6 linked regions of the Coturnix japonica genome follow. The protein of the gene in region 6 interacts with the protein of the main gene of each other region in a pairwise test. Links are inferred from orthologs where the notes say so. Each region holds a gene or a part of one and is shown on either strand. Other genes may lie near its edges.

What was found.
Region 1: the proteins of NECAB2 (region 6) and ISCU interact in binary tests that used the Homo sapiens proteins (3 or more experiments, as listed by UniProt). The two-hybrid records come from large-scale screens. The link is inferred for Coturnix japonica from reciprocal best matches to the Homo sapiens genes NECAB2 and ISCU.
Region 2: the proteins of NECAB2 (region 6) and EHHADH interact in binary tests that used the Homo sapiens proteins (3 or more experiments, as listed by UniProt). The two-hybrid records come from large-scale screens. The link is inferred for Coturnix japonica from reciprocal best matches to the Homo sapiens genes NECAB2 and EHHADH.
Region 3: the proteins of NECAB2 (region 6) and CCDC146 interact in binary tests that used the Homo sapiens proteins (3 or more experiments, as listed by UniProt). The two-hybrid records come from large-scale screens. The link is inferred for Coturnix japonica from reciprocal best matches to the Homo sapiens genes NECAB2 and CCDC146.
Region 4: the proteins of NECAB2 (region 6) and TEX11 interact in binary tests that used the Homo sapiens proteins (3 or more experiments, as listed by UniProt). The two-hybrid records come from large-scale screens. The link is inferred for Coturnix japonica from reciprocal best matches to the Homo sapiens genes NECAB2 and TEX11.
Region 5: the proteins of NECAB2 (region 6) and NEK6 interact in binary tests that used the Homo sapiens proteins (3 or more experiments, as listed by UniProt). The link is inferred for Coturnix japonica from reciprocal best matches to the Homo sapiens genes NECAB2 and NEK6.

The regions. Positions count from the first base shown.
Region 1 is NC_029530.1:5,667,765-5,672,994, forward strand, and holds ISCU (iron-sulfur cluster assembly enzyme ISCU, mitochondrial), read left to right. Parts: upstream 1-2,044; 5' UTR 2,045-2,056; coding exon 2,057-2,143; intron 2,144-2,219; coding exon 2,220-2,333; intron 2,334-2,666; coding exon 2,667-2,777; intron 2,778-3,499; coding exon 3,500-3,578; intron 3,579-3,794; coding exon 3,795-3,886; 3' UTR 3,887-4,337; downstream 4,338-5,230. Other genes in the region: SART3 (squamous cell carcinoma antigen recognized by T-cells 3), read right to left, coding at 215-341, 1,580-1,747.
Region 2 is NC_029524.1:2,549,462-2,554,300, reverse strand, and holds the end of EHHADH (peroxisomal bifunctional enzyme), read left to right. Parts: intron 1-1,495; coding exon 1,496-2,766; 3' UTR 2,767-3,886; downstream 3,887-4,839. UniProt on the Homo sapiens protein: Peroxisomal trifunctional enzyme possessing 2-enoyl-CoA hydratase, 3-hydroxyacyl-CoA dehydrogenase, and delta 3, delta 2-enoyl-CoA isomerase activities. Catalyzes two of the four reactions of the long chain fatty acids peroxisomal beta-oxidation pathway.
Region 3 is NC_029516.1:11,449,827-11,454,374, forward strand, and holds part of CCDC146 (coiled-coil domain-containing protein 146), read right to left. Parts: intron 3,484-4,548; coding exon 3,388-3,483; intron 2,877-3,387; coding exon 2,706-2,876; intron 1,569-2,705; coding exon 1,480-1,568; intron 1,386-1,479; coding exon 1,221-1,385; intron 1-1,220. UniProt on the Homo sapiens protein: Essential for sperm flagellum biogenesis and male fertility.
Region 4 is NC_029519.1:2,409,011-2,413,558, forward strand, and holds part of TEX11 (testis-expressed protein 11), read left to right. Parts: intron 1-374; coding exon 375-512; intron 513-830; coding exon 831-933; intron 934-2,056; coding exon 2,057-2,181; intron 2,182-2,903; coding exon 2,904-2,989; intron 2,990-3,326; coding exon 3,327-3,374; intron 3,375-3,585; coding exon 3,586-3,626; intron 3,627-3,927; coding exon 3,928-4,014; intron 4,015-4,548. UniProt on the Homo sapiens protein: Regulator of crossing-over during meiosis. Involved in initiation and/or maintenance of chromosome synapsis and formation of crossovers.
Region 5 is NC_029532.1:7,821,657-7,826,204, reverse strand, and holds part of NEK6 (serine/threonine-protein kinase Nek6), read right to left. Parts: intron 2,577-4,548; coding exon 2,452-2,576; intron 1-2,451. UniProt on the Homo sapiens protein: Protein kinase which plays an important role in mitotic cell cycle progression. Required for chromosome segregation at metaphase-anaphase transition, robust mitotic spindle formation and cytokinesis.
Region 6 is NC_029526.1:121,701-126,741, reverse strand, and holds the start of NECAB2 (N-terminal EF-hand calcium-binding protein 2), read right to left. Parts: upstream 3,056-5,041; 5' UTR 3,009-3,055; coding exon 2,814-3,008; intron 1-2,813. UniProt on the Homo sapiens protein: May act as a signaling scaffold protein that senses intracellular calcium.

The sequences.
Region 1 (5,230 bases), on a different chromosome or scaffold from region 6:
CCTTCACTTGCCAAAGCTAAAAGCCCACTGCCAGGTATTTATATTGTTACAGTGTTAACTATAAATAAAAAGAAAGGCCTGCTTCAAGTTGAGTTCAGAGCTTCAATCTGATCCTTTAGGCTGGAACAGCATGGCTGAAACCTGGCACAAAGAGTATTTCACACTGATGATGCTTCATCAGTATTACCAGCTGCAAGGAGAAGCAGCTCTGTACCTTCAGTAAGTGGGAAGAGTTCACTCATCTTCTGCCGAGCTCTTCTGAGCTTCACCAGCTCTCCCTCTTGGCGGAGCAGCTTTATCAGATCCAAGTGGCAATTGTAGTCAAAAGCATTGATGGAAAGCTTTAAAGAAAATAAAGGAAGTTTTTAAAGGCTTGCAGAAGTCAGCAAATACTCAGCAGAACAGAACTTTACACACTGTTTTCTATGTGTCACATCCCTGCAGTTCTTGAACACCTCCAGGGATGGTGATCCCACCACCTCCCTGGACAGCTTGTCTCAATTCCTGACTGCTCTTTTGAAGAAGCAGTCATTCCCAATACTCAACAAGAACCTCCCCTGGTATAACTTAAGGCCTTTGCCTCTTGTCCCATCGCTGTTATATGGGAGAAGAGAGCAACTCCCACCCTGCTACAACCTCTTTTCAGGGAGTAGTGGAGAACCATCCTACAATTCTGTGATCCCCAGCTCCCTCAACCTCTCCCCATATAGCTCGTACTCCAAACCCTTTACAGCTCTGCTGCCCTACTCCAGACATGCTCCAGGGCCTTGATGCCTTTCTTCTGTAGTGAGTAAATTAAACGCAGCACTTAAGATGCCTTGCCTTCACCAGGGCCAAGTACAGACAGACATTCACCTCCCTGCTCAGTTACACAGAATCACAGAACTGTAAGTGACAGGAAAAGGCAAAGTCCTCTGAGGATCCCTCAGTCCAACCCTCCCCCCAGCAGGTAGCATTAGAAAGCATCCCAGTGGATCCTGAGCATCTCTAAAGAAAGAAACTCCACCACCTCCCTGGGCAGCTTGTGTCAGGGCTCTGTCAACTTCACAGCGAAGAAGTTATTTCTCACGTTCAGATAGAACTTCCTGGGTTCCAGTTTGTGCCCACTGCCCCTTATCGTGTAGCTGGGCATGGCTGAAAAGAACCTGGCCCCATCTTCACGATTTCTACCCTGACAAGTGCTGCTCCCTCAGCCTTCCCTCCTGCCTCAAGGGCAGCCTCAGGGCTCCTCAAATAGAAGCTGCAGGCCCCGACCACCTCTGCAGCCCTTCATAGAAGATCCCTGTTACTAAAGCTGGGCTTTAAAGTTCTGCAGAAGACTGAACTCACAGCCCTAAGGCCCGAGAGCCCCCAAGTACAGACACAGCGCTAACACCCAGTGAGCCCTCCTCAGCAAACGCGTTTTAATTCCTTCAAGATCACTAAGGAAACCACCATCTGAGTTCACTTTCAACATACCAGGGCTGCTCCCTGAGTCTCTCTCGCCCTGAAGCGAGGAATAAAAAGCGAATTAAAAGGCATCACGCCCGGAGGCGTTTCCAGATCTCCATAACCAAAGCACGGTACAGCCGGGCCCCACCTGCTCCTCCAGCCGCTGGATCTCCGCCTCGTTCTCCTTCTCCTCATCCTCGCCGTCTCCTGATGAATCCGAGTCGCCTTCATCCTCCGAATCCCCCCCCGACTCGGGGTCTCCCTCCACCACACGCTTCTCCTCCTCCACCGCCGCCTCGGCTCCCGCCGCCGCCATCTTGTTGCAGCTCGCCTCGCTGCCGGCCGCTCTCAGCCAGCCGATGGGGTTGGCTACTGCGCGCCTGTCTCAATATTGTACATTCCCCCCAGCCAAAAGCGGTGAAAGAAAGGACGATAAACTCTCCCGACAAGGTTCTGCTCTTCTCCGCGTCCAACTGCCACGAAAAGCCGAGCAGCTCGGCCCGTTACTCCTTATAATTTAGTCTGCTGCAGAGGCAGCGCCACGGACACCTCAGGGCCTCGGCCTCCAGGGGTCCTTCGGGAGGGTTGGGGCAGAGCGCCGCTGCCAGGTGCGGGCAGACTCAAGATGGCGGCGCTGAGGGCGGCGGGGGCGGCGCTGCTGCGGCCCGGGCGGGGGGCGACGGCGGTGGGGGGGGCGGGCTACCACAAGAAGGTGAGAGGGGCCGGGTAGGGCTGTGGGGAGCCCATAGTGCCCGTTGGGGGTTGTTAGTGACACGTTGTTCTCGCAGGTGGTGGATCACTACGAGAACCCGCGGAACGTGGGCTCTCTCGATCGCAACGCAAAGAACGTGGGTACGGGCCTGGTGGGAGCCCCGGCCTGTGGAGACGTTATGAAGCTGCAGGTGAGGGGAGCACGGGGTGCCCTGTAAGGACACAACCATCAGTGTCTGCCACCATATGGCTGTGACATAGGATTCCTCCGTCACACCCCCTTTAAGCCCCTCTGCAGGCCCTAAAATCCAATAGACCCCCAGCCTTAAACTCGCTGTCCCTTTACGCCCCTCTGCAGATCCTAAAATCCAATAGACCCCCAGCCTTAAACTCATTGTCCCTTAAAGTCCCTCTGCAGGCCCTAAAATCCGATAAACCCCCAGCCTTAAACTCGCTGTCCTATCGCTGTCCCTTTGTGTGTGGTTCCTACGTGGAACTGAGCGCCCCTCTGATAACTCCCACAGGTGGAAGTGGATGAGAACGGCCGCATTGTTGATGCTCGCTTCAAAACCTTCGGTTGTGGTTCTGCCATCGCTTCCAGCTCCTTGGCAACAGAGTGGGTGAAAGGGAAGACGGTAAGGGCTTGGCTTAAGGGGCACAGTGGGGAGCAGGTACATATTCACACCCACTGCTGGGATCAGGGAAGGAAACAGGGGTCTAGAGAGGTGCTCTCCAGGTGTTACACTCACATAGAAGCTCAGAATGCAGTTTCATCTTTCCTGACTTTTAAAGCAATATTTGCCTTTTCTGGAAGTCTCCAATAAGCTGTGAAGAAGCTTTGGGTGCTACACAGCAATCGAAAATAGATAAAGAAAGCACTTGTATAGTGGAATGTCTTCCATTGGCTGATCTCCGTGTGCTTGGCATTGTGACAAGCAGGTTGTTTCTATATTACAGCAGAACAAACCTGGAACAGTCCCTGCAGTTGGTCAGCAGTAAAATAATGCTCTGGTTTATTAACAAGCACTGCACACTTTGAGACATTCCTTATATTTCATAGAATCAGGGGTTGAAATGGACCTCTGAGTATCACCTAGTCCAGCTCCTCTGCCAAAGGAGGTTCCCTGTAGTAGGTTGCAGATTTGTTGCTTGGCAGGAGCAGAATAAAACAGGTATTATTGAAAGGCCTTTCTTATGGTAGAACACTATCAGCAGCTTTTACTGCCTTCTCAGAGCGTGACTTTGGTTGGTTCCAGTGCTTTGAAGCACACCTGTATCAAATACCTGCGTGGTGTGTGGGCATCATATGTACATGTGTATGCCTGACTGATGACTGTACCCTACCCATACATTTCAGATTGATGAAGCATTGAAAATCAAGAACACAGACATTGCAAAAGAACTTTGCCTTCCTCCGGTCAAACTGCATTGCTCTAGTAAGTAAAGCATCAAACACGTTGTTATTTGAGAACACAGATGCTTTTGTACGTTCTCCAAATAAAGCTTTGCACACATAGCAGCTAAGGCTGACCCACAGTGGTGGTTATTGCTGGCTGCTTCTGCTTGTACTGCATCTTTTGTTCTAAGTGACTTGTCACTGTTATTTAAAGTGCTTGTAAATGACATTGTTTTGTGCTCTTTTTCTCCCCTAGTGCTGGCTGAGGATGCAATCAAGGCTGCCTTGGCTGACTACAAACTGAAACAGGATCCAAAGAAAGGAGAGTCAGAGCAGAAAGCAGACTAATTCCTAAACAGACTGTAGAGGTTGTCCTCATTCCAGTTCAATTTGCAGTGCAATTATTCTAGCTGTTAATAGAATCCTGTGCACTACTCAAGAAGCTGTAAGATACGCACAACTCAACGCACAACGTGTCACTGGTCATGTGTGTACAGCCACCCTGGTAGTGCTTAAATGACTGGAACGTGGGTATTTCAGCAGCCTGTGTCCTGTCAGGATTGGTTTTGAAATGGTGAGAGTGAAGGGCTGCTCTGCTTCAGGGCAACCCCCCGGTAGCTTCTCAAGAGAGAAAGAATCCTCCTGTTCCAGCATTGGAAGGGCTGCACTTTTTTTCTTCTGTATAGTTTTGCCTAATGTTTTACAAAGAGTTTGGTGGGAAACTTGGTTGCCTTGGTCTTTATGTGGGTCACTTTGTCAATCAATACAGTATATATAAATCTCATGTGGTTTGGCTGCAGCTGTGTTGGAGTTTGGTTTCACAATCTGTGACCTCTCACATGCTGTCTATCCCCTGCGTCACGCTGCTCTCTGGGAGGAGCTGGGATGCTTCACCAGGCACTAGAGGGCACTGACTGTGGGAGGTGAGCAAATAACAGCAGCTGCAGTTGGTTGCCAGGAAGCTCAGAGCCAGCAGCGTTAGCAGGACATGTTTGTGTTCACATCCTCCAATAGCAGGAGGGTTAATGTTGGAGCATCTTTTAAAAGCATTCAACCCTTTAGTTTGCCAAATACTGTTAAGGGAGATTAAACACACGCTGAGGATTCAAACCCAGAATGCAAATAGCTTAACTGGGATGTAATACTGAGGGGAACCTCCCTGGAAGAGCAGGAGTCAGCCTGTGCCCTCTGGGGGTGTCTTCTGAACTTCCCCCATCCCTTCCAGGGCAGAGAGAGCAGCCAGTGCTCTTGGTACTAAGCCAGGGGCAGAAGGGGATCCTTACCTGCTGCTGGAGCTGATTTTGGATGCTATTTCTGATAGCTTCTGTTGTTGCCTTTGGTAGTTTTAGGGCTGGATTCTCTTCATTTGTGGAAAGAAACCTCAAAAACACAGCCTGGCAGATACCTCCCCCGAGCAGCTCTGTGTGCACAGCTAAAGCTGCTCAAACTGCTTCGCTGGAGGAGTGAGTTATGAAGAGAGCACAGGGGTAGCACTCACCAAGTGGAGGATTTGCCCACCCACCACATGAGCTGGGCTCCTTGGGAGCGTGGGGCACAGAGTCAGTTCAAAACAGGCGTTTTATGGCCACACAGCATGGCTTACCCTCTGTTCTTTAGACCACTGTGCTCCCCTGTGCCTCACAGCGATGGCTGTTTTCCAAGGGAGTGTTGCCACAGATCTTCAAATCAAAA
Region 2 (4,839 bases), on a different chromosome or scaffold from region 6:
ATGTTCTTAAAGCTAAGCAGGTAGTGTTTTAAATGACTTCTGTGTACACGAGTTTAGCATAGGCAGAACTGAAGCAAGGCTGTGTGGCTTGCAGGAAAAATACACTACCTCATTTGACCTTCATTGTTGGTACTTGTTTAACTGATGACATAATTTCAGCTCTTCTCTATAAAGCTGCTTTAGACAAAAATGTTAATCCCTTTGTTTCGGTTTATTTGTTTAGCTGAATTTAATTTGTAAACCAAGGATTAAAAAAATAATATTAATCGTTTTTACAGAATTATAACAGACCTGGCCTTTGCATAGTTGTTCCTTTCTTTAGGATATTCATAATCCTCCCATTTGAGTGCTTTGCAGTTTTAAAGCTGGTAAAATTGCGCTGGCTTTCTCACTAGTTTGTATTAGCTCTGTCCACAAAGCCTCCATTGTAGGAGAATAGAATAAGTAGCGTGGGCTGGGTATCATAGGAGAGTGTAAGCACGCAGCTTCACTTAATGTAACAGAGGGCTGAGCCAGGGGAAGGGCTCAAAAGGAGGGAAAGTATCAAGGCAGTAATGTCAGCAGTGTTATTTCTCAGGGTGTGGGCTGGTCGTAGCACATTTGTGGATCTCAGAGGAAAAAAAATACAGCTTAAATGGGTGATTGGTTGTGGACAAGAGTGTGGTTAGACAAGGGAGGCTGTATCTTTAGTAATCCTCAAAAGTTAGGAATGGCCCTTATCAGAGGACTTGGATTGCCCCCCGTTGGCAGAGATGTACAATACAAAGCGTGAACAGCAAGCAAGATGTTCAGGGTAAGAGCACAGTGTCAGTTCCATGCCTGAACTGATGATGAGTGATATAGGAGACATGAAAGTCGAGATCAGACTCTTCTGAGATGCCTTAAAGAAAGAGCAGCTGAATTTGTGTTCACATCAAAGATTACGCAATGAAACGCAGGGTGAGACGAACAAGAAGCTTGCAAGGAAGAGGAAGAAACCAACTGTCTGAGCTTTTCTGGTGTCAAAATATCTGTGTGGGGTGGCTTTGCTTGCAGAGGTGTTCATCTGTGAGTGCCCATGAGGGGCCATCTCAAAAGGACCAGAGAGGCACTGGTGTCCTCAGGATGAAGCTGCCAGAAATAGTGTTGGTCTTCTGTCTTCACTCCCCAAGTTCTAACTATTAAGTGATGCTGGTTTCCATAGGGATAAAACTTTGCAAGGACAAGACATGAATTCATGTGGTCCACACACACCCCTGTGAATCCCGTTGGTATTTTGTAACCTTGAGAAGACACCAGTTTGCCTTTATGCTATTGCTCTTCAGACACTGAGGCTCCCTGAAAGAGAGACTTAACCTTCCTTTTTCTGAGTCTTCAGTTCTTTCTTTCTGCCTGTGCATTTTGCTTAAGCTTCTGCTTTTTATCTTGGAAATACTGAAGGAAGTGCTGCTGTCAAGTGACTGATTGTAACATTTTCTATTTGTAGTTTCTGATTCTATCTCACTTTTCTCTCCAGGGCTTGGAACAATGGGCCGAGGCATCGTGACTTCTCTGGTTAAAGCCAAGATACCTGTGGTAGGCCTGGAGCAGGATCTGGAGTATCTGAACACAGGAAGAAAAGCCGTGATGCTCCTTTTGGAACGTGAGGCTATGAAAATGGAGCAGGGTGCCCAAACCCTGGATTTCCATAACCCTGCACGACTCCAGTTCACCGTGGACTTTGATGTGTTGAGGGATGTAGATCTAGTTATTGAAGCTGTGTTTGAGAACATGGCACTAAAGAAGGAAATATTCAACAAGCTATCAAGAATCTGCAAGCCAGAGGCCTTTCTGTGTACAAACACATCAGCCCTGAATATCGATGAAATAGCTTCTGTCACCAACCGCCCACAGCAAGTCATTGGCACACACTTCTTCTCCCCTGCTCATGTGATGAGGCTATTAGAAATAATCTATGGCCGTCACACGTCCCCCACCACCATTGCCACGGCCATGCAGCTAGCCAAAGTGATGAAGAAAGTTGGAGTGGTGGTAGGGAACTGTTTTGGGTTTGTTGGGAACCGAATGATGTTTCCATATACACAACAGGCAGTTTTCCTTTTAGAGGAAGGAAGCAGACCAGAAGACGTAGATCGGGTTCTTGAAGATTTTGGATTTAAGATAGGGCCTTTCCGAATGTCTGATCTTGCTGGGCTGGATGTGGGCTGGAGGTCTCGAAAGGACCAGGGCCTTACTGGGCCCTCACTGGCTCCAGGAACACCCGCCCGCCAGCGGCGTGGTTATCGCTACAGCCCACTGCCTGACCTTCTGTGTGAGAAAGGCAGGTTTGGCCAGAAGACTGGAAAAGGCTGGTATCAGTATGAGAAGGCTGGGGGTAGGATATCCAAACCAGACCCATGGATTCACAGCTTTCTGTCTGAGTACAGGGACACCCATCAAATCAAGACCCGCTTTATAGACCAGGAGGAAATCCTGGAGCGTTGCTTGTTTGCTCTTATCAGTGAAGGATTTGACATCCTGGCGGAGGGAATAGCGTCAGGCCCAGAACACCTTGATGTAATTTATATCAATGGTTATGGATGGCCAAAGCACAGGGGTGGCCCCATGTTCTACGCTTCCACTGTTGGGCTCCCTAACATTCTGGCTAAGCTGCAAAAATACTCTGAGATGCACCCTGATGTTCCCCAGCTACGTCCCAGTGCCTTTCTGAAAAAGTTGGTGGCTATGGGGAACCCTCCTCTCAATGACTGGATGTCCTACCTACACAGGCAGAGCAACAAGCTGTGATTTCACTGATACCTGCTATAGAAATTCCTTGGAGGTTGATCTCATGAAACAGCTGCTGCAATTGCACTTTTCCAATCAGAACCAAAGTGCTACAGGCTGATAAAAAATGTCAATTACCTTCCTAGGTGAGCCTGATCTCTGTCTCACCTTGCTGCAGGCAACCACTGCCATCGCCCACCCTTGCCTCTTGCCACCAGCTTCACCCACCTTCTTGGCACACTGCTGTGTATAAATGCATTTCATTCTCCTCTGCACTTAATTCTTGAGAGCAGTGCATCTCTTCCAGTCTTTCTTTGTAGAAGGGACAGAACAACACATGGCCCTCAAAGCAAATCACAGTGGGAGGGGAGAGCAAGATGGTCACCGTTCACCCAGGATCAGCTGGACCTACCAGATCCTGGCCTAAGTCTGTTTTCCAGTTTGTTCAGACCTTCCTTCTCCCTGCAGTGCAGTTTCCTCCACCCCAGATTACTTGGCAGTCCCAGATGCAGCCAGTTGGAGCCTCCTCCCTTCACACTGCTGGGGGAGAGCTGGCACATTTCAGAGGTAAATTCAAAGGTATTGGTGAGAGCAGCTTCGGAGAGAGAGCAGGGGGCAGGGCTGGTACTATCACCTGCTCCCTGCTGCCGAAAAAGATTCTAATAAATGACACAAAAGCCACATATGCATCAACCTGACTAACCTGCACTGTGCTGTTGGCTCATGACTGGCATTCTGCATCCAGACTCCATCCTCCTTTATCATCCACCTGGCTTTGTCCAGGCAGAAACATCTTCTGGCATCTCTTAAGTGCGGCTTTGCTTTGCTGTCACTCCCCCTATCTTGCCTGCCTGTGGCTACCTAATTGATCTAATTGACCAGACTGAAACCTGGCCTGGCACTTATCGGGTTTTTCCTTGCACAGAGGGCGTGCTGAGAAGAGCAGGGCTCGAGAGCTGGGCGGGCAGACTTCCAGCAGAGAGCAGAGCAGGAGTGAGCTAGAGCTCTTCCATGCTTTGAGCAAAGTCACCTATTGCTCACGTCTAGTGAATTTATCTTTTAGGTTGGTGTCCTCAGGAAGATTTACACTGAATGTCTAATTGTTGCTTTCTGTTTTAATAAAACCATTTTGATTATCTAATGACGGATTACTGGGTATCGTAAAGCAGAAGATGGAAAATGTGTTTGTTCTTTATACCTCCATTGCTTCTCTATGTGGCAGAACTCAATACACTCCCTGTTTGTGAAGGAGTTCATGCTGGAAGTGGTTGCATTCCACTGTTTTCTATACGTAGCTTCTTGTGCCTTTTATCCACTCTTGCCCCAGTGCAAAACTGGGGTCAGGAAACCCTCCAGAAGCCAGAACCTATTTCTTTGTTCAAGGGAGGATTTTCCTCCAGCACCAGAGAAAGCAATAACTCTTAGGTGCTGAAAACTGCTGCATTCCCCCCCCCCCATCACTTGCGTGTCACAGCTGAGTGCAATCCAGCATTTGCTCAAAGGTGAAGCGCTGCTTCCACGCGCGTGGGCTCCGCGTGACATGTTACACAACAGCACTGCTGCTGCTGGCGGCTGTCACGTCACTGGGCAGGACAGCTCTGGACGTGCTGTGCTCTACCCTCTCCTGGGCCTCCTGCCATGGGGTTCATTCGTACCAGAGATGGGTTAGAGAAGGGCATTGCCCTTGCAGCAGGAGTGGGCTGAGGAGGGGCGGGCATGTCCTTTATCTGCCTGAGAGATGGTAGTTTCTGGGTATCAAGCCCCGCCAGCATCAGCCTTGTGGCCAAAACATCTCACCTACAGCACCTCCGTACATCCAACATGCCCAGCCCCCTTCCCATCTCCCCTCGAGGAAATTACTGAGAACAGAGGCCATTGGCACTCATAATGCCTCTACTGACAGAATCTGTACATTCCTATTGACCAATGCATTGATTGCCATGTTCCAGCCAGCAAAGTGAAACTGCCAGAGCTCAGGGTGCAGCTGTGGCTCTGAGAGCAGGACCCTGCAGTCAGCAGGAGCACATGGGAGTCCTGGGCCCTCCACTGCTCCTCTGCTGCAGGGTCAAAGTGTGTCCAGAGGGAAGCACAGCC
Region 3 (4,548 bases), on a different chromosome or scaffold from region 6:
TCGTTTCCGCTTTTGTCAATCAAGTCTCAGAATGACAGAATGGAGGTATAGGAGAAATGCAGCATTTTTTATTTTTATTTTTAATTATTAAATGGAATATGAAATAAACTTTCAAACCGGTACTCTGTCTTCCAAAGCGAGTAGTTTGCAGTTCAGTCAGGGATACCATGATGGATTTTTACCCTTTTGTTTCTTTTTTCCTCTTCCTCTCACAAGTAATTTATTGGGAAGGCCTCAAAAAATTGAGCACAAAATGCACGTCCTCAGAATCACTTCAGTCCATCAAGCTCCACCTCTTTTCCAACTTGCTCCAGCATGGCTCCAAAGTCAAGGCACATGGAGATTCACTATGTATATAGATTGAATTTATCCTGATTGCAGTCTTACATCTGGTTGTGCAGTTTTTCTTTTGGCACCAGAAAGCAAAGTTTTGTGCAAAACAAATTATTTGTAAACGTAGTTTTGACTGCACTGTTTTGCTTACAGTTTTAACCCTTTCCTAGTTTCCTGCTTTCCCAACTACTAATTTCAGCTATACTGTCACTGTCTATATATGCGAAGCAGAAAATCACCATTAGGATGACAAAAAGATGGCAAAAAGGCATCTCCACTAAGTAACAATGAAGGAAAAAACAGAATCGCAAACACCAGCTGCACCTTGTTATCCTCTTTGCTGTCAGTGTAAGCTTTCATTTTGATGAGGACTGCCTAGAATTTGAAACTGTGTTTTGCTTGATCTGAAATAAATATTATCCAACAGAATACAATTTGAGTTTGAAACAAGAAACTCAGTTCTAATTTAATAATTAATTGGCCATATTACTAGCTAGCGACTCATTTACTGGTACCATCCAGTCTGTAGTGGAGTTGTGTGTGGGTTGGAACTCTTTTTGCCAAAGGATGGGTACAACAGTTGTTCATATTCAGATGCTTGAGGCTTTAGAACAGTTATACGAATGAAGTATAAAGACAGTTTTTCACTTGAAAGAAAAGGAAAATGAGGAAGAGGGCAGACAAACTTCAAAAGCACTTCCTTCCCATGCAGTGATGCCCAAACTAGTTGTAAATTGTTAGGAATGGAGCAGGTTCTGTGAGGGTGCTGCAGTATTTCTTTGTTTGGATCAGGTTTTAAAAATCAGGGTAGTAACTGTGAATAGGATTCTTTCTAAGAAATCTTTCCCATTTCTGTCTCTGTGATTTACAGCTTAGTTAAAACTCACCTTTCTTGGGTCATAAGAGTATTCCTTAAAGTTTCACTTTCACTTGCTTTTACTTTTATCTGCTCTTTAATTTCAGTAGTTTTCTGCTGAGCAATATTAAGCAAATGTATACACTTATTCCTTTCATTTTTGATTACTTCACAAATCTTAGCAGCTCCTCGGAGTCTGAAGAGAAGTGTGAAAGAAATAATTCTTACAAGTTTATGCACACATTATCTGGATGAGAATAACTTTATCTAATGTGTAATTGTTTTCTTACTGTTTTTGAACTCTTCTTTTCCTCTTTTTATGCTGTTCTATTTCAAGATCCTTTCTTTTTAGTTCTCTAATAATATTTTGAAACTGCATCTGAAATTTAAATAGAATTCAGTAAGCGCTTTAGATTTTTCAAAGCAATATTTTCAAAGCGAAACAGAACAGCTCTTTTAGATGAGAAAAATACGGTCAAAATTCTTCAAAAAAATTATCCTAATTACAGTGAGATGCTTTTACTGTAATAACACTTTTAAAAAAACTTTCTCTGCCTTCTCAGCAGTCTCTGGTGATTGAGTAGCACAGAACACTTACATTTCAATAGGGATTTCAGTTCTGTTCAGTCCTTACTAGTTTGTGTGCCTTACATTCAGTGGACAAACCTTCTCTCATCTCCCACTGATATCAAGAGGACAATATGGCCATTAGAGAAGCTGGTGGATGTCTGGTTGCAGTTCTAGGCTGGAGTGTTTGTTAACAAAATTATATTCTTAATGGTTTTGTCTGTTTATGGACTTATTTTTATTGAATTTGCAAAGCCTGAACTGCTCCTTGTAATCTATTTCTATAGACAGTCAGAAATTCACAGCATACTATAAGGGTAGCCGTCCAATTTATTTTAAGGCAGACATACGTTGTGGAAGTGTAAATAGTCTGTTCTCGATATTTAGCCAGAAGAACAGGGAAGTTTTCCCCCTTCCTTCAAATAAATAGACTGATTTATGTATTGAAGTGTATCAGGAAAATAAGAATTGGTGTCTCTCCTTCGAGTGAATAGTTCTGATGTCAATGTTTGCAAAACAAAACAACCTTCTTGTACTTCCAAGGACCTCAGCTGAGGCTATCTGCATTTCTGCCTCTTCCATGGTTGTTCATTTTATCCTGTAGGCTTGAAAGAAAAAGTCCTTTCAAACACCTTAGTTCAACTGTAGCATGATATTTCAATGCACTGTTATATGTCACTATAAATTGCCACCAAACTAACAGTGTATTATGAGCTTCCTGTGTTAATCATAAAATCCTTGGAGTTGAAAGGGACCTTTAAAGCTCATCTCTTTAAAGATCCAACTCCTTTGCAATGAACAAGGACAGCTGTGATGAATGTTTGCGATGGAACTTTGAGGTAAAATGGGAAATGAGAGTCTGTGAGGTTCCTCTCATCAGTGATTTATTTTCTTCATATAGGAACTTTTGCTTTAGAGCAGACTTTCAATTATGTGAGATTTATTGTACCTGGACTTTCTGAAATTCCCTCGATTTCTGTTCCTTCTCTTCAACTTTGAGCCAAGTCAGACGTGCGAGTCTGGATAACTCATCGCGGCGTTTTTCCTGCTCCTTGAACAACCGGCCTTCTTCAGCAATGCATTCCTCTAATGTGCGGGCATCCGTGTCTGATATCATCTCCTGAAGGAAATCAGTGCTGATGTATTATCAGTGTTGGAAAACCCAACGTTTGAAACACTTTGGTGTTATTTACAAAGCATGCCTATATAGAACCGCACGGATTTAAAAATAAATGAATAATAAAGCTGACTTTAAAAATACCATCTGAAGCACCACACATGATCTCATAGTAACATCAAAATATTTTAGCACATGCAAAGTTTCTGTTCCTCCATCCAGCAGCACTTCCAGCTGCTGAATATAAAAGCAACAGAATCAGAGCGTGCAATAAACTGTGTTACAAAAGGTTTGGAAAACACCTTCTATGCTAAGAACCTCAAAGAGATGTGGTAATTCTGAAATCAAGATTTGGACTTTCCCGAGTCTTTGCTGTAGTTCAAAGGAGAGTTTATTCAGGGAACTTCCATGATTTGTGCTGTCCTGCTGGTCAGTTCAAATATTGTTTCCTTTATTCTCATGACAGAAAACCAACCATTACAGGGAATTAATATGAGAATGAAGAACTCATCACCTGTTCAGCTAAACATCTCTTTTTCATATCAATTTCCTTCTGCAGTTCTCGTCTTCTTTCTAGTAATACTGCATTAATTCTGGGGATAGCTTCTGCCTACAAAAATAAATCAGGCATTCTGAATGATGACAACGAGAGGTGTGAAAAATGGGAAATGCAGAAAATCTATTTCAGTTACTTATACACACAATGAAATGATTATTTTTCTGTCTTACAACTCTTAATCCAAGAACCGCTGTGGTAGTTAAGTAGAAGTCCTCAGCAACATGTCCAAGTTTCTGAACGTTTTCTTAAACATTACAAAGCCCAGTTGAAGTAACGGCATGTATAAGTGTTATGTTTTTGCCTTTAAGTTATGAAGGATTTTCCCGTTTCCTCCTGAAGCTCCAGGAAGTTCAGGCGGACATGTGAGGCACTGGGTTTTTTGGCCTTACAGCACCGTGGTACCTTTCTCAGATCACAGCCAGATGTTAGAAAACCTTCACACAGACAGGGACATGTTCTGCACTCATGATTTTCAATTCAGTGGTAATATTATAAAACTAGATACTGTTCACTTGCACTAAAGGAAAAGTTAACGTGGTGTGGTAAAGGTCAAGCTCTGAGGTTATTTGCTTGTTGATGCCAGCTCTGGGACAGGTCGGATCTGACTTAGATTTGCTAAAAGGTCAACGTAACCCACACCAAGCAAATTGCTTTCACTCTCATGGAGGGAGCCAACACAGCATTTCTGCAGAGCGTACATCGGTTTCCACTTCTGCTGCACTGTTACCACTTCTGCTGCACACTCCTGGCTGTGGTGGATGTAGATGCACATTTCCACATTTCCAAGATGAGATTCTAAAGGTGCCATCAGGCTCTTGAGTCTGAAAGCAGAAAGCTCATACCGACATCTTTCATCCATTCAGGGCTTTTGTCGGCATCAGACAAGATTCAAGTTTGGTGCTTTTGGCAGCAGGAGACACAGCCAGGGAGAAGAGCAGCAGCCCAGCCAGGGCCTCCAGTTCTCTTTCACACAGAATGTCACTTTAGCAATAGCTGACCTTTCACAACTTACTGAGAAGAAAAACACTTACTGAGAAGAAAAAAGTTGAAGGAAGTGTTTATGCGATTTCCTTATTCTACAAATCAATTGCTCTACAATTAGCACATCACTTAAAC
Region 4 (4,548 bases), on a different chromosome or scaffold from region 6:
ATGGGTGCTCTTTCCCATTAAAACATCAGGCTTCAGGTAGGTTCTTCTCCAGGTCTGTAAACTGGAACAGTTAATACCAGAATGGATCAGCCACAGAACCTGTGCAGTTCACCTTTCTGGCTGTGCCCTGGGAAGAGTGCAAAAACCTTAGAATATTCCTTACACTGAGACATCTGTAGTGGAAGAGCAGGAATAGGTAAAATATCTGTTCTCCTAACTCATATGCCTGTGCTCTGGGATCATTGACCACTCTTCTGGGAAAAAAAGACTACACTAGAATGTACTTGACTATCTGAATCTTTTATTTCCTATGATGGTTTTGTTTAATTTTTGCAAACTATCATGCCTCCTCCTTTTATTTTTTAATTTCCTAGGCAAAAAGCTATTCTGAAGCTCTTAACTGGTACAACTATTCTGTCAGCTTCTATACACCTGGGCAGATAGATCAGAATCTGGCTAAGTTGCAGAGAAATATGGCTTCTTGTTATCTTCATCTGAAACAAATTGACAAGGTATATATATTTAATTACATTGCTTTCGTGTTTGTAGCTAGATCATTTGGACTTAACTTACAAGTTTAATCTTTCAGCATTCTCAGGGCTTCTCCTGCTTTCTAATTCTGTGGCTCTAATTGAGGAATTGCTTTCTCTAGTCATTGTCTGCCCTTGGTGTTATCTTCTGCTCTGATTGCTTTTCTTTCTGGGGAGAGGGGATTGTTGCCAAAGCAAACTTGTACAGTAATTGTATAAACATCTATAATGAAACCATTACAATTTTAAGCTCTCTTCTATTGCAACATTGCACTGAATTCCTATCTCTCCTGTGTATAGGCTAAAGAGGCAGTTAAAGAAGCAGAAAGATGTGATCCAAACAGCATCTTTACTCAGTTCAGTGTCTATAAGATTGCAGTGATGGAGAATGATACTGATAAAGGTAGAACTTGATAGACAAAAGGGTCCGCTACCATGATCAGAAGTGTTGAGAGTTGTAGATAATACTCAGCAGACGTGGACTGTTAGTTCTGGGAAAGACACAATAGGGAGAAGATAAGAGAAGGGTCTAGAGAAGGGTCTATAAAATCACTGAAACCAACAGGCTGTAGATTTTGAGCTGTCAGAGGGGGATGTTTTTTTACACATAGCATGTAACATGTGGAGTCTGTTCTCACACCCGGAATATTGTCCAGATGAAGTCTTTGTCTAGGAATTTTCTAATCTTGTGGGCAAAACTAGAGCAGCATCCCAGGATGAGAATCACTGTAGCCTTGCTATTTCTAATGTTCTTTTATAAGTATGTACAGCTGGAAAAGTGCTTCAGAGTTAGATGAACTTTAGCTGAACCATTATCACCTCTCTTGATTTCTCTGGTCAAGCAGAGCCTGAAGTTACCAGAAAATAAACGAGCTGACTGAGATGACTTACAGAATGACATATGTCTGTAGACTCTTTCTTCTGCCGTTTCATATTTTAATGAGAATCCCAGCTCAAATAATCAGAATTGAGAAATATAGTCTATATACTTAACTAGAATACAGAGTAACACACAGATCTTACTCTTCAATGAGTTCTGTGCTGATTAATTATTCTCTATGTCTTTTAACTGACAGCCTAATTTGCTCATATAATACAGAGTGGGAACTACAGCACAGTAGGAGCATAAAAGCAGCAGCAGCCTTAACATGAACCAAGATGTGGGAGCTTGGAAGCCTGCCCAGACAGTGTATTAAAGAAAGTCTTCTGTGACAAAAAGACGTTTAGCAGAGCAAAATTAAGAATATGTGAGATGCAGTTTTGTTTGTGTGGCATCCTTGTTTCCTTAGATGAGGAGCTTAGAATGCCTTATTGGCCCCTCTGGGAAGAAATGCGTAGTTGTGGAGAGCTGCTCGTATGGTCAGGGTTTCTTGTCTTTCTTTTTCCTATTAGAAAATAAAATGACAGCCTTTGATAAGTTGCCTTATTAAAACAGTGGAACTTTACACCTTCCCGTTGCTTCCATGAAAGAAAAACCCAACCAAACAAAGAGCCCAATGATTGATTTTTCTCTATGTGTATTTCAGCTGTGGAAGCAATTATTGAAATGGGGAAGCTAGCAGAAAAGCCACCTCAACATGAAGACAAGCTGATAGTGGATGAAAATACAAGCACAAACCTCCTGAGTTTGGCTGCCCACATTGCTTTAGAGGTAGAACAGATAACACTGTCCTTATTTTGCCTTATTCTACAAGTAGGACAGCTGTAACATCTGTAACCTGGCCGACTTTTAGTGTTTCTATTTCATGCACTTTGAAGTATTTAATGCTTGTGTGAACAAAGTCTCACTATATGTTCTGAGATGTATTGTGTAAAGCAAAGTGGAAATCGACTTCATGTATGAATAAACTGTTATTTTCTGGAAAAGAAGTGATTCTGAATTGTAAATGTTCATATCTAGAAATGCCGTGGCATATTTCTGTAAGATTCTCTTCAGCAAAATGTTACATTTCTTCCTACCTCTGGGATTTTATCTTTGCAATGCTAGAGGAACCTTTGTGCAAAATTACATAAGGGAATGATGAAGGAGTGAAAAAACTTTTGTCCCTCTGTTTGCCTCAATAAAGAGATCACTGATCAGTGACAACAATGCCTGAACTGGCTGATGACAGTGGCATTTGCAGGAGAGGCTGTTGGGTGCTTTGTAGGGCTGTAGAGCATTCTAAGGCATGAAGTCCTTCCCAAATTGTACTGATCCTATATTGCATTAGGCTCTTTGCATGTGCAATGGTATCCCTCCTTGTGGTTTTCTTTCAGCTCTGAGAGAAATTCTGTGTAGGTCTTTTGCTCCATTTATTTTTTTATTCGTTGTTTTGTTTTGCAGAAACTGAGCAAGTACACTTTCATACAGATTGTGCTTTACTTGTTTTTCAGAATGATCAACAAGTTGTGGCCATCAGAGCTTTGGAGCACCTGTCTGAACATTCACAAGACTGCCGACAAGTATTTGCAGCTTTAAAGTAAGGGTTTGAGATATTTACAAGGAAAGAGAACTCCGGTTTCTCTTTCCAACAAAAGTGATTTTGTTGAGGGAGGTGGAGAGCAGATGAAAGCTTAGTTAGCAGTGCTTTTGGTGCTGGGGATGTACCTCAGGCTCAGACTCTTAGTGTTTGTATAGATTTCAAGTCTTTTCCATGCAAGCACCAAGATTTATGACTTGGTAATAATATTCTTCTCAGCTTGACACCACATTCCTTTGTGAGCTATAGGAACTGATGGCATAAGGAAGAAAGAGGGATCCTTTCTGAAAGCTGAGAGTGAAGGACACTGTTGGAAAAAAAAATCTTGTTTCTTCACAGTTGTGGTTCCTCTTATGTTGTCAAAAGTAGAAAAAGAAGAGAAAAGGTGAGTATGTGTGTAAAAAATGTATGCTTATGGTAGATAAATTATACATGTAGTGTATGCTTTGTCTTCTGAAATAATGCCTGATATTTGTCAGAGCAGTGATCATATCAGTTATTACAAAGCTGTTGTTTTCCTGCATCAATAATGTAAGATAATATTGTAAGAAAATTAATCAAATGTTATCTAAAGCGTGATTTTTCCTCTGTTTTAGAGATGAAGACATCAAGTCAATGCTGACTTATTTGACCTTGGGTATGTTTTTGTTGTGTTTATATTTTCTGTAGTTCCTCCATGTGTTTTATGATATGATTAGGTCCATACTGACTCCTTATTTCAGCCCTATACTGAAATTTCCTATACTAGCCATTCTAATGTTTTTTTCTAAGCTTTGGGGGTCAATCATATTAGATGTAAGTTGTGAGAATAACCCTCCATCAGGGATTACATGGGAGCTTTGGGAAAATGGTATTTGTAATGTAGGTATTGGACTTGGAAATGTTTGTATTCTGCTTAGAAAATGCAGCCTGTCACCTAAACAACATGTTTTCTGCAGCTCAACAGAGACTTGCTGAACCTTTCACAGAAGAGAATTTGACGAGAGATGTAAGAACTTCAGAAGCCCACTGGTTTAGAAAAGTTGGTAAGCTGCACTCTTAAGATCTAAACTGAATCACCTCCACTTCCATTTAGCCTGATCCTAAGGAAAGAGGAAGTATTTGAAGATTCAGTATTATGAAAGGAGTCACCTTTGGCAGTCTCTGCTTTAAATGATCTGTTGCATTTTTTGTCTTCTGAAACTGCCTGGTATAGCTCATATTTTAACTCAAATACTTGCATGAGGTCTATGTGACTGATGGGGTAGTTAATACTGCTCTTTACCACAGGAGCTGTATGTGCCCATGATACAGCTATGCAGGGCTCATATATTTTCTCCTGCTTAGCCCTTTGCTACCAAGATTATGTTACTGAAGTCAAATGCAAGATTACACAAATAGAAACTAACAATGATTTTCTTTAGGGTCTGAAAAATGTACTGCTAAGGGGCAATAAAAAATAGCAACAAATACTGAGTATGCATGTTGTTAGGAAGATTAAATCAGCATTAGAAAGGTGAATGTGCTTCCATCAGTAGTGAACGATGGGATTGTGGTTCTGTTTAATTACTTGTCCTGGG
Region 5 (4,548 bases), on a different chromosome or scaffold from region 6:
CAGCCACTACTGGTGCTTTAAGCAAAGCACAGCACCAAGAGATGAAACAGAACCAAGCCAGCATGCTGCAGCCCCTGTGGGACTGCTGTTCCTGGAGGGGTGCAAGAGAACACCAGCCCAAAAATACATAGAAATGGCCCCTGCCCAGTGCTCAAGGAGTAAACCCCGAGCATTAACAACAATTAATGATATGTTCAATTGCTTTGCTGCAGTTTGACTGCTGTGTGGAAAACTGGCACTGCTCAGCAGTCTGTGGGCACTACAAGGCTGCACCAAGGCTTCCAGTATTTTTAGTCAAGCTAAAATTGTTAAGAATCAGTAAATCAACAGTTAAAAGTCAGATGCTGCAGCCTTCCAATACTAATAAAAGCTTCTTTCCTGTAAAGCCATGCAATGAAATACTCTTTAGAAGAGTAAAAAACATACTCGCCCAATTAATTTTCTGAAATCTCATTAAAAAATTTAGCCTGACGAAGTCATACAGCTCTGACCTGAATTTTAATTATCTTTATGCAGGATATAAGTTTTTTTTCTGATATTTGCAATGCATCATTAATTTTAAAGCAACTGTTTCCTTGCTTCTAAAGTGCATACTTCATCTGAATGACATTTACCGTAAACTAATTTCACCTTTAAAAGACATCTGTGATAGGAGATGGAGAAGCTGTAGCCCCTACAGCTGAACACGTATACATTATAGGCAATGATTTACTATCAGCAGCAGCATTCCAGAGCCTCTTTACGATGTCCCAAATTGTACACCCATCTCCACTCAGTAATGCTCACCTGAAAAGAATTTCAGATACTTTGAGGCTGAAATTCCAGTGTGAATTTATGAGAACACTTTAGAGCAGACTGATTAAAAAAAGAACTTCTGAGCTCACAAGAGATGAGGAAACTTTTAAAATATGGATTATCCTTCAAGCAGGCAGTCAAGTAATTACTGAAGAATACATCAGGTTTTGCATTTTGTGGCTTCAAAACCAGACTGCACTACAGCATGAGGTGTCCTTCACCTCAAATGTTACCCACAAGTTAAAGTTTGCTGAAGAACTTGGCTTGAATGTCAAAGTTTTACCATCTCCATCGACAGCTCTTTGTAGTAGTTCATGACAAGGAGAGAGAGAAATTCACAGTAACATGGAAATAAGCAAAGCAATTTGGAAAAACCAAAGAGCCTCTGCTGCTGAATGGAACGTAACAGGTCATCCTATGCCAACACCAGACATGGGCCTGCCCTGTGAGCGTGACAACTCATGCTTATTTCTAAACCACACTTACTGCTTCTTTTAAAACAAACAACAACAAAATCTAAGCAAGTCTCCCTACAGTTCTAATCCTTCTCCAGACAGACAATTTACTGCAGGAGTCCCACCACTACAACCTGGCTGCTCACAGCCTTGAGGGGAGGTTTCACTGCACGGTGACCATGCGGCAAAATGAGCCCACTCAGCATCAGCACAACAGCAGCACGCAGATTACTAGCTACTAATTACATTTAACTATGTCATTACAAATTCTAACATGTGCTCCAAGATGCCATGAACGTATCTGCTACACAGGAACACTTCCTAATCTTGTTCATGAAATAATTACAGGGGCTCTATCCTGCCAAATGAGGCAGTAATTAACCCTAATTGCTCAAAATGCAACTGGCTAATTCTAGGAGATTAATCAAGGGGATTCAATTATTATTAAGTGACTTAATATGACAAATTGCTACATTAGGAAAGGGGGGCTTTGCTCCATACGATGTATTTTCCAAGCAGTGCTGTGTGGGATACATTCACTGCTGTACGTGCAGGCAACTCATCATCACTGCAAACCCTGCACTGGGCACAAGGCACAGCTTTCTCAGCAGCCCTTATTTGCCCCAGGAGCCACAAGCACTGCTGGCTGCAAGGCCAGAGCACCCAGGCAGCAGGTCGGGGCTCTCTGCTGTACAGAAGGAGGGAAGAGAAGGGGAACCACTGCCAGGCAGGATGGAAACAGAATCCACCCAACACAATGGGGCAGAAACCTTCCAGAAGCTCTCTGAATACAGAGTCACTGAGCCTTGACACAGAATGAACTTTATCTGGTATTCTGTAACTACCTCTTCAGCACTTATTATCAAAGTATGCAAGGAAATAAAATATTATTTGTTTACACTCAAACAAATGCTTTTCTTCAGCCTTTTCTTTAAAAAAATCAAAGAGCAGAGAAAGCCAACGCAAAACATGTATTTACAGGCTGCTTAAAGAATACTTGAACTAAGCAAAATTTAAACTGTTTCCTTTTTCTCTTATCATCATCAAAAATTGGATCCAGGAGACTGGTTGGCAGGCAGCATCCCAAACTGGATATACCTTGGCTATTAACAGAGGAGTAAACAGCCACAGGGCTCAGAACCGCAGAGGTCTTTGAGGAAAGAAGGGCAGAGAAGGGAAGGTGAGGGCTGGCCATGCTCACCTGTGGGTCGTGCTGGAAGTCCTGGCCTGGCAGCTTGCAAAGGGCGCTGGTCTGGTCCCCCAGATGCTGCGGGTGCTCGTGCTGCCCCTCCATGCCCACATGCCAAGCGCTGCTGGACCTGCGGGCTGTGAGCAGAGAGAGCCATCAGCACACACTTCATGGGAATGAGCACTGGGACACCGTCCATCCCCTGCAGCCCTCCTCTAACGTGTGTAATTCCCCAAACCAGAGCAAAGCAGCGCCAACTGCCCCGAGCAGCAGCTGCCAGAAGACAAACCCAAGTGCAAGCATGTCTGCACACAAGTGGAGGGAGCACAGCAACAGGGCGAGCTGAGACAGTGCTCCCGAGGGTAAAGGGCAAGGACAGCTGTATCACAAATACTATTGGTGTCAATTCATAAGACAAAATACAGCACTTTATTCGCTCTCAGGTGCACTACAAAAGACTTGAGTATGGAATCTAACAACAGTGTCACTAATGCAGACACCTTTGCTAGGCATCAGGAACTCACAGTAGATTGCAGTGGTGCCAGCTTCCAGCCCGTTCCAAAGCACCAGAGCAGTCCTTGCAAACCAGCAGAGCAAGCTACAAGCCAGCAGAACATTCCCTGTGCTGGAGCACAGTGGTACCCAGCCCTGGAAAATTTCCAAGCAGACACACACTGCTTGCTTCTAAAGCATTTAAAGCACTTTGATAATCTGAGGCATGCGCAATCAACGAGGCACACGCAGGGCAAGGAGAAGGCATGCTTTACCCTGCATCATGTTAGTTAAGTTCTGGTTTAGGGTCTGCATCTTCTAATGTCCTGCAGTACATTATACCTTATGTTCAACATGAATCCAACTCTGTGTGTGTTCTTCCAGAGATGGTAATACATCATTCAAACACAGAAAATACCCTAAACTTCCAATTCTTATGCACTTATTAACTATGAATCCCAGCTTACCATCTATTTTGTTACAGACTCAACAGAGAGATGTGGGAGCTGACACATCTCAATTCACATGGAAGAGCAAAACAATGCCCAGGTGCTACTCAGAGACAGACAGTGCTTGAGCACAAGTACACACTCCACAGGTCCACATCTGAAAGCATGAGAAGGCCACTGCTGAGGACATGGGAACTGGAGTGCTCTGCATTACAGCTGCATCACACAGCAAAAGGCCATAGCACGAGATATAAGAATCCCACAGAACTATCAGGCTTAAAGCTCACCAACTTCACTCTGACTTCACCCTTCATACCTTATAGAGACCAACCTCTCCATTTTATGCATAAAGGTCTAACTTGTGGAGATATGAGTCAGGACACAGATTGAAATGCAACCTCACTCATGCTGTGGACAGCACAGTGGAGAGCTGTGAAATCCAGCACCTGTAACACAAACCCCTGGCATTGCATCCTGTACCTCCACCAGAGCACATTATTCCTCAGCATGACAACACTGCATGGATGTTGAGCTGTATTGAAAAGAAAGGACCCAGACCTGGGAGCACTGCCAGCCCAGAAATGCACTCCCCACATATACAGCACATGCACAGCAGCCACACTGATGTCCATTCCCATCCAATAGGATGCTGTAGATTTTTTGTGTGACTAAGGAATGTTATTTCAAGCTAAATATTCACCATCCACACGTGTCCTAGGGGAGATCCACTTAAAAGCTGCATTGCTGCAGTCCCTAGCACTAACAAGGAAACATTTAGTGGCAGCCCCAGCATTTTCAGTACTTTGTTTCAAGAGTTCTGGCAAGTATTCACTCAGCGAGAGCACAACCTGATCTCATTAGTGTATTAATAGTGCACGACTGGCATCTGAGCAATGACTAATTCTTAATTTAAAATGCAAAGGTATTTTAAATATTTTGGGGTGGGGGGGGGATGAACGGGGAGAGAAAATACGATGCAGAAGAATTTCTGCAGCAAGTCGGGCTCAGCTCTTCTCACAGTTGTCAGCAGTGCCTGAAGCAGCCAGGCTGGACCCTTCCAGCAGCAGCTCCTGGTGGGCTGCAGCAAACAGACGCACATGGCCACAGGGACAGCTGCTGCATGAGCTGCCCTCAGGGAAAAGAGCTTCCCAAAGTCAGTACTCTGCAG
Region 6 (5,041 bases):
GCTAGGAGGGATCTGGGGATCTGAGAGGTCTTTTCCAACCTTAATGATTCTGTAATTCTATATAAACATATATAAACAGATATATAAAACCTTGTCTCAGAAGCTATGTATAGACTTCATTCATCTCCAGCAGTCTGTATGCTGTCAGTCTGAGTTTGGGGCTCCTGATCACAGGGCAGCAGTGTGCAATCTCATCGTGGGATGCAAGCACCGAGATGAAACCCTGGATATTGTGACACCGTGTGAGCTCACCACTGAGCACCACTCCTGCTCCATTTGCCACTAGCACTCAGGAGCATCTCTCACTCCTGATTTCACTGCTGAAAGCTTCAAGAAATGCTGACAACTTAAATGTCTTCCTCATTAGACTGTTACCAGGTTTTCGCCATTTGACAGCTTTAGCACAGTTTGAGCCAAACTATTAAACATTATTCAACTTTTACCTAGAAGGACACAAGAAAAATAAAGGAAAATACTGGAGACATCCCTAAGCTGGGATTTATCCCTGAAGCAACAGCAGCCAGGCTGATGGCAGAAGACATCTGCTCCCCTTGGACCTCCTTTCTCAGCACTTGGTTTCACTCCACAACATCCTGATTTTGTTTCTTGGACGCAAAGGGAGCAGGAAAGTTCTCACTGACCCATCACTGCCCTCATGGCCCAGAAGAGTCAGAACTAACTCTTTGATGTTGAGTCTAAAGAAATCCAGAACAGATGAGGAAGAAGTGACCAGCATGTTATTAGCATCAGAACCACCTTGAGCAATTCATAACCAAACCAAGCTTAATCCTCATCTCAACTCATGAGGATGTTATTTAAACACAGAATCTGCCAGGGCTCTTCCTCCATCCCCTGAGGAGCCCAAACTGTTTCTCCCACATGCACACACAGCATGGAAGCTGCATGAGCTAATTGGAAAGACCTGAGGATTACAGTGGAATCTTTGTTACCTTTGGCTACCTTGTGAAAATTAACCCAAATGCATATTTTCCCAGTTGTTAAAGCTTGCTTTCACAATGCCCTTGAAGAGCCAGTTATGGTAAAGCCACAACTTAAACTGAAGTTTCTATTATAGCTGGAGAAAAGGGAGAAGCATGTTCTAAAGGAGGAGAACAGAAAAAAACAAAACACCACAAGCCCTCAAACTTTACACTTACAGAACCCACTTCTCTTTCCAGCAGGTAAGAAACGGCTCCAGTTCCACTGTGACGGGGAAATGGGCTGAGGAGCTGCACTGCTCTAGGTCCCAATGGCAGAACCATTCAAAAGCAAAGGGCTCATTTTCTCAGCTCAAAGTAGAATAAAAAATCCACTTAAAGACAGTGAAGTTGAACAGATAAGGTACCGTTTTTGGTTTCTATTTTGGGAGCACAACCCTAACTCAAGAATCTGTAGGTATCTAATTAACATTGCTCCCCCCATTACACTTATGCTTCCAAGCCCACACTGCTGTAAGATTTCAGCAGGGCAGAAAAAAAAAAAAATAAAATAAAATAAGAGAAAAAATTGACACAGAAAATCATAGGGGTATTTCATTTCTCATTTTAAGTTTCTCCAGGCATGACCATCCATCAGCATTCTGCTCTCACCTCGGCTTTTGGCTGCCCAATAGACACAGCTGAGTTGGTTCATCCAGGGAACTGGAATGCCTAGCAGCCTATGGTGTTCACATATAGGATGAGTTTCAGACTCACCAACCCATGCCAGCACTTACAAATGGCCAGGAAAACACAAGGGCTTGCCTGGCAGAGCTCTGGCTGCCTGATGCTGAAGGGGCTAAGAGAGCACGAAGTTATCCTTCACTACTGCCACTGCCTCTGGACCTTATTTATGCATTCACTACATTTTATTTTTAAAGCAGAGCTGAGGATGCATGTGTTTAATTGCTAGATGCTGCAGCCAGAAAAGCTGTGTAATTACACCATTTGCATGCCAGTTATTTCATTCTATTCTCCTAATGTATTTAAGCACAAGTAACCTCACCAGCCCACTAATCAGGAAGCCTATAAATACTGAGTGGAGGTACAAGGCACACCCTTGTGAGTTCACCCAGACCCTGGTAGGGGAACCCTGGGGATGATGCACCCACAGGCAGACAGTACCATGCTGCAGCCTCGTCAGGTACTGAGGTGCAGGAGCCAGGGTGCGCTGCAAAACCTAGGGAGTCCAGGGGACCTTCCTGCAAGTAATTTGTGTTACTTCGGAGTCTTACATCCCCAAGTTAAGGACTAAGGATACACTCCCATACCCAGGTGTTGGGGCAGGACTTGGGAAAGGGGGTGCAGGACCCAAGGAGGTACTCCCTTGCTCGGACAGTCTAGAGGATGCAGGAGCCCAGCCAGACTGGGGGATGAGCAGAACGGGCATACATGCTGCATGTGCACCCCCAGCGAACCCATGGGGTGCAGGACCCAGGGAATAATTCCAATCCTAAATTGCTCCCAGAGTTCAGGACCCCATATCCAGCCAGAACAGGGGTGCAGAGCCCAGGCAAGGGGACGTGGGGTCTGGGCTGCAACCCTATGCTTAACGGGTCCGGGAGATGGAGAACCAAGCCGCACCCTATTCCTACCTGCTTCGGGGTAGGAGCCGGACTGCACTTATCCGCTGCCAGCCACGGATGCAGGACTCATGCAAGGAGATGCAGGACTCATGCAATGAGATGCAGAACCGAGAAATAACCCCAATACCAAGCCGGTCGGGGGGTGCGTGATGCAGGAGGGCTGCAGGAATCCCCGTGCACTCCCGTGGGCTTGCAGGACCCGCGCTAAGGGAATGCCTGACCCCAACTGAGGGACCTCGGGACCACTCACATCGAGGATGACGGAGGTGCCCTTCCTCTGCGCGGAGGCTCCCGAGCTGAGCAGCTCCCTGTCGGCGACGCCCTTGTCGCTCATCCTGGCCCCGACCCAGCGCAGCAGCCCGTCCAGCCCGCGCAGCGCCGGCGCCGGCTTCCGCAGCAGCCTGTGCACACCGGCCCGGCAATACCGCGCCGCCTGCTCGCACATCGCTCCGCCCGGCCTCGTGCCGGAGCCCGGACTCCCCCCTCCTCCTCCTCCTTCTCGTCCTCCTCCTCCGCATCGCGGCCAGGGGCGGGTTCCTGCCTCCTCGCTCTGCCCTGCCCGCAGATTTTGGGGTGGGGGTCCCAGCACACCCCTCAACTCCCTCCCAGAGCAGCTCTTCAGAATTCTTGCTAGGAAACCAAGAATTGGTTCTGATCCCACGGCCCAGAATGCCAGGGATGTCATCTGGGGCAACGCAGCATCTGTGGCTGCAGAGCTAAGCGTGATGCTCAGCCGAAGATTCCTAATCCCATATCGTTCTGTTTCACAAAGATGTTCACTGCTGGTACACTTGTGTTCATTTATCTTCCTGTGGATATGTCCTGCAAAACTAAGATTGTAGAATCATAGAATAAGAGTCATTAATGTTGGAGAAGACCTCTCAGATCCCCAAGTTCAACCCCAGCCCACCCCCACCATGACCATTGCCTGCATCCCTCAGTGCCACATCCCCATGGCTCTGGGACACCTCCAGGGATGGTGACTCCCCCACGCCCTAGGCAGCTGTGCCACTGCCTCGCTGCTCTTTGGGAGAAGAAATTGTTTCTCATATTCAACCTGAACCTACTCTGGCAGAACTTAAGGCCACCACCTTTCATCCTATAACTGTTACCTGGGAGCAGAGGCTGAACTCCACCCCACGACAACCTCCTTTCAGGGGCTGGAGAGAGCAAGGTGCTTCCATGTGAGCTCAGACACAGGGATGCACTGGGACAGGGGGCTTGGAACCCTCACTGGGGTCTCCAGGTACTCGTGGGGACTTGGTGTCAGCCCAGCCCTTGTGAGCACTGCAGTTTGCCACTGGGCCCCATGCCTGTTCCCCAGAGAACGGACAGAAAATTGCTGGCACCACTCAGATCCCCTTCACATCTCCCAGCAAATATAATCCAAGGCATGGCATGCCCTGGCAGGCTCATGAACCAGCTACTGGTCCATAGTTTTCAGGCCCCAAATGACAGCAGCTTTTTCATGGTTTTGCAATCCCTGTATAATATGCAACACTTCTTTCTCCTTTAGACATCTGTCTGCTAAATGGGTCAGTCAAGCTGTGCTAATCACACAGCAGCCTGGCATTGCTGTATGCTCTTTGCTGCCTAATTTCATAAGCAAAGTTCTTTAGATTTTCATTTGTTTCCATTTGCTCTAAAGATTCATTGCTCTGTTCAGAAGTCTGAGGCTATTTCTCTTCTTTTGTACAGATCTTTTCCTGCTAATGTCAAAACCAGCTTTACCTCATTTAAATACTCATTTTTCTTCCTTAGTGAATCTAGACTGGAAAAAAATTCAGCCACTCGAAGTGGAAGCAGCAAATGTTAATTATGAGCTGGGACAGCAAGATACAGCCTCAGCACCAGGTGTGGTGCCAGAGGTCTCCAGGCTCCTGCCACAGCCAAGGCAGAGCAGAAGGCAGCACCCGTGTGTACTCTGAGTGCTGCTCTCATGACCCTCTCCACACCACAGGGGTCTGAGATAATGAAAACCTTCCAGCAAAATGCCAGCTGAGATTGCTGATGCTTGTTAATGGCTGCTGGGACTGATCTGGCTGCTCAGGACTGGGAGGAGGAATCAGCAACCCCACTAAGAGGGGAATCTGGTAGAGCAGAACTGACACCCTATACAGGTGCAGGAGCACAGCGGGAGCCTGCAGTGCCCTGTTAGTCCCTGCACTGTGCTGTGGTTATTGCAAAGCAACATCAGGACTGTTGTGCTGTGGAAAGGTGAGCCTTTCCCACATTACACTATGACATAGGCTGGTTTGCTTAGCAATAGGGTTCAACACATTAATTTAAGGATTAATGTATTAGTTTAGCAAAAGGAATCAGTGAGTGCTAGTTCTGAAACTTTCCATTTCAGTTTTGCTTGATGTGAGAACAGCCTTGTTTTTCTCGCCAGTTCTGCTTCACAAGACACACTGGAGTCATAATAGGCTGCTTTTATCTTTGTACCCACCAGGTACAAGGGCTTTTTCCTCAGATTTC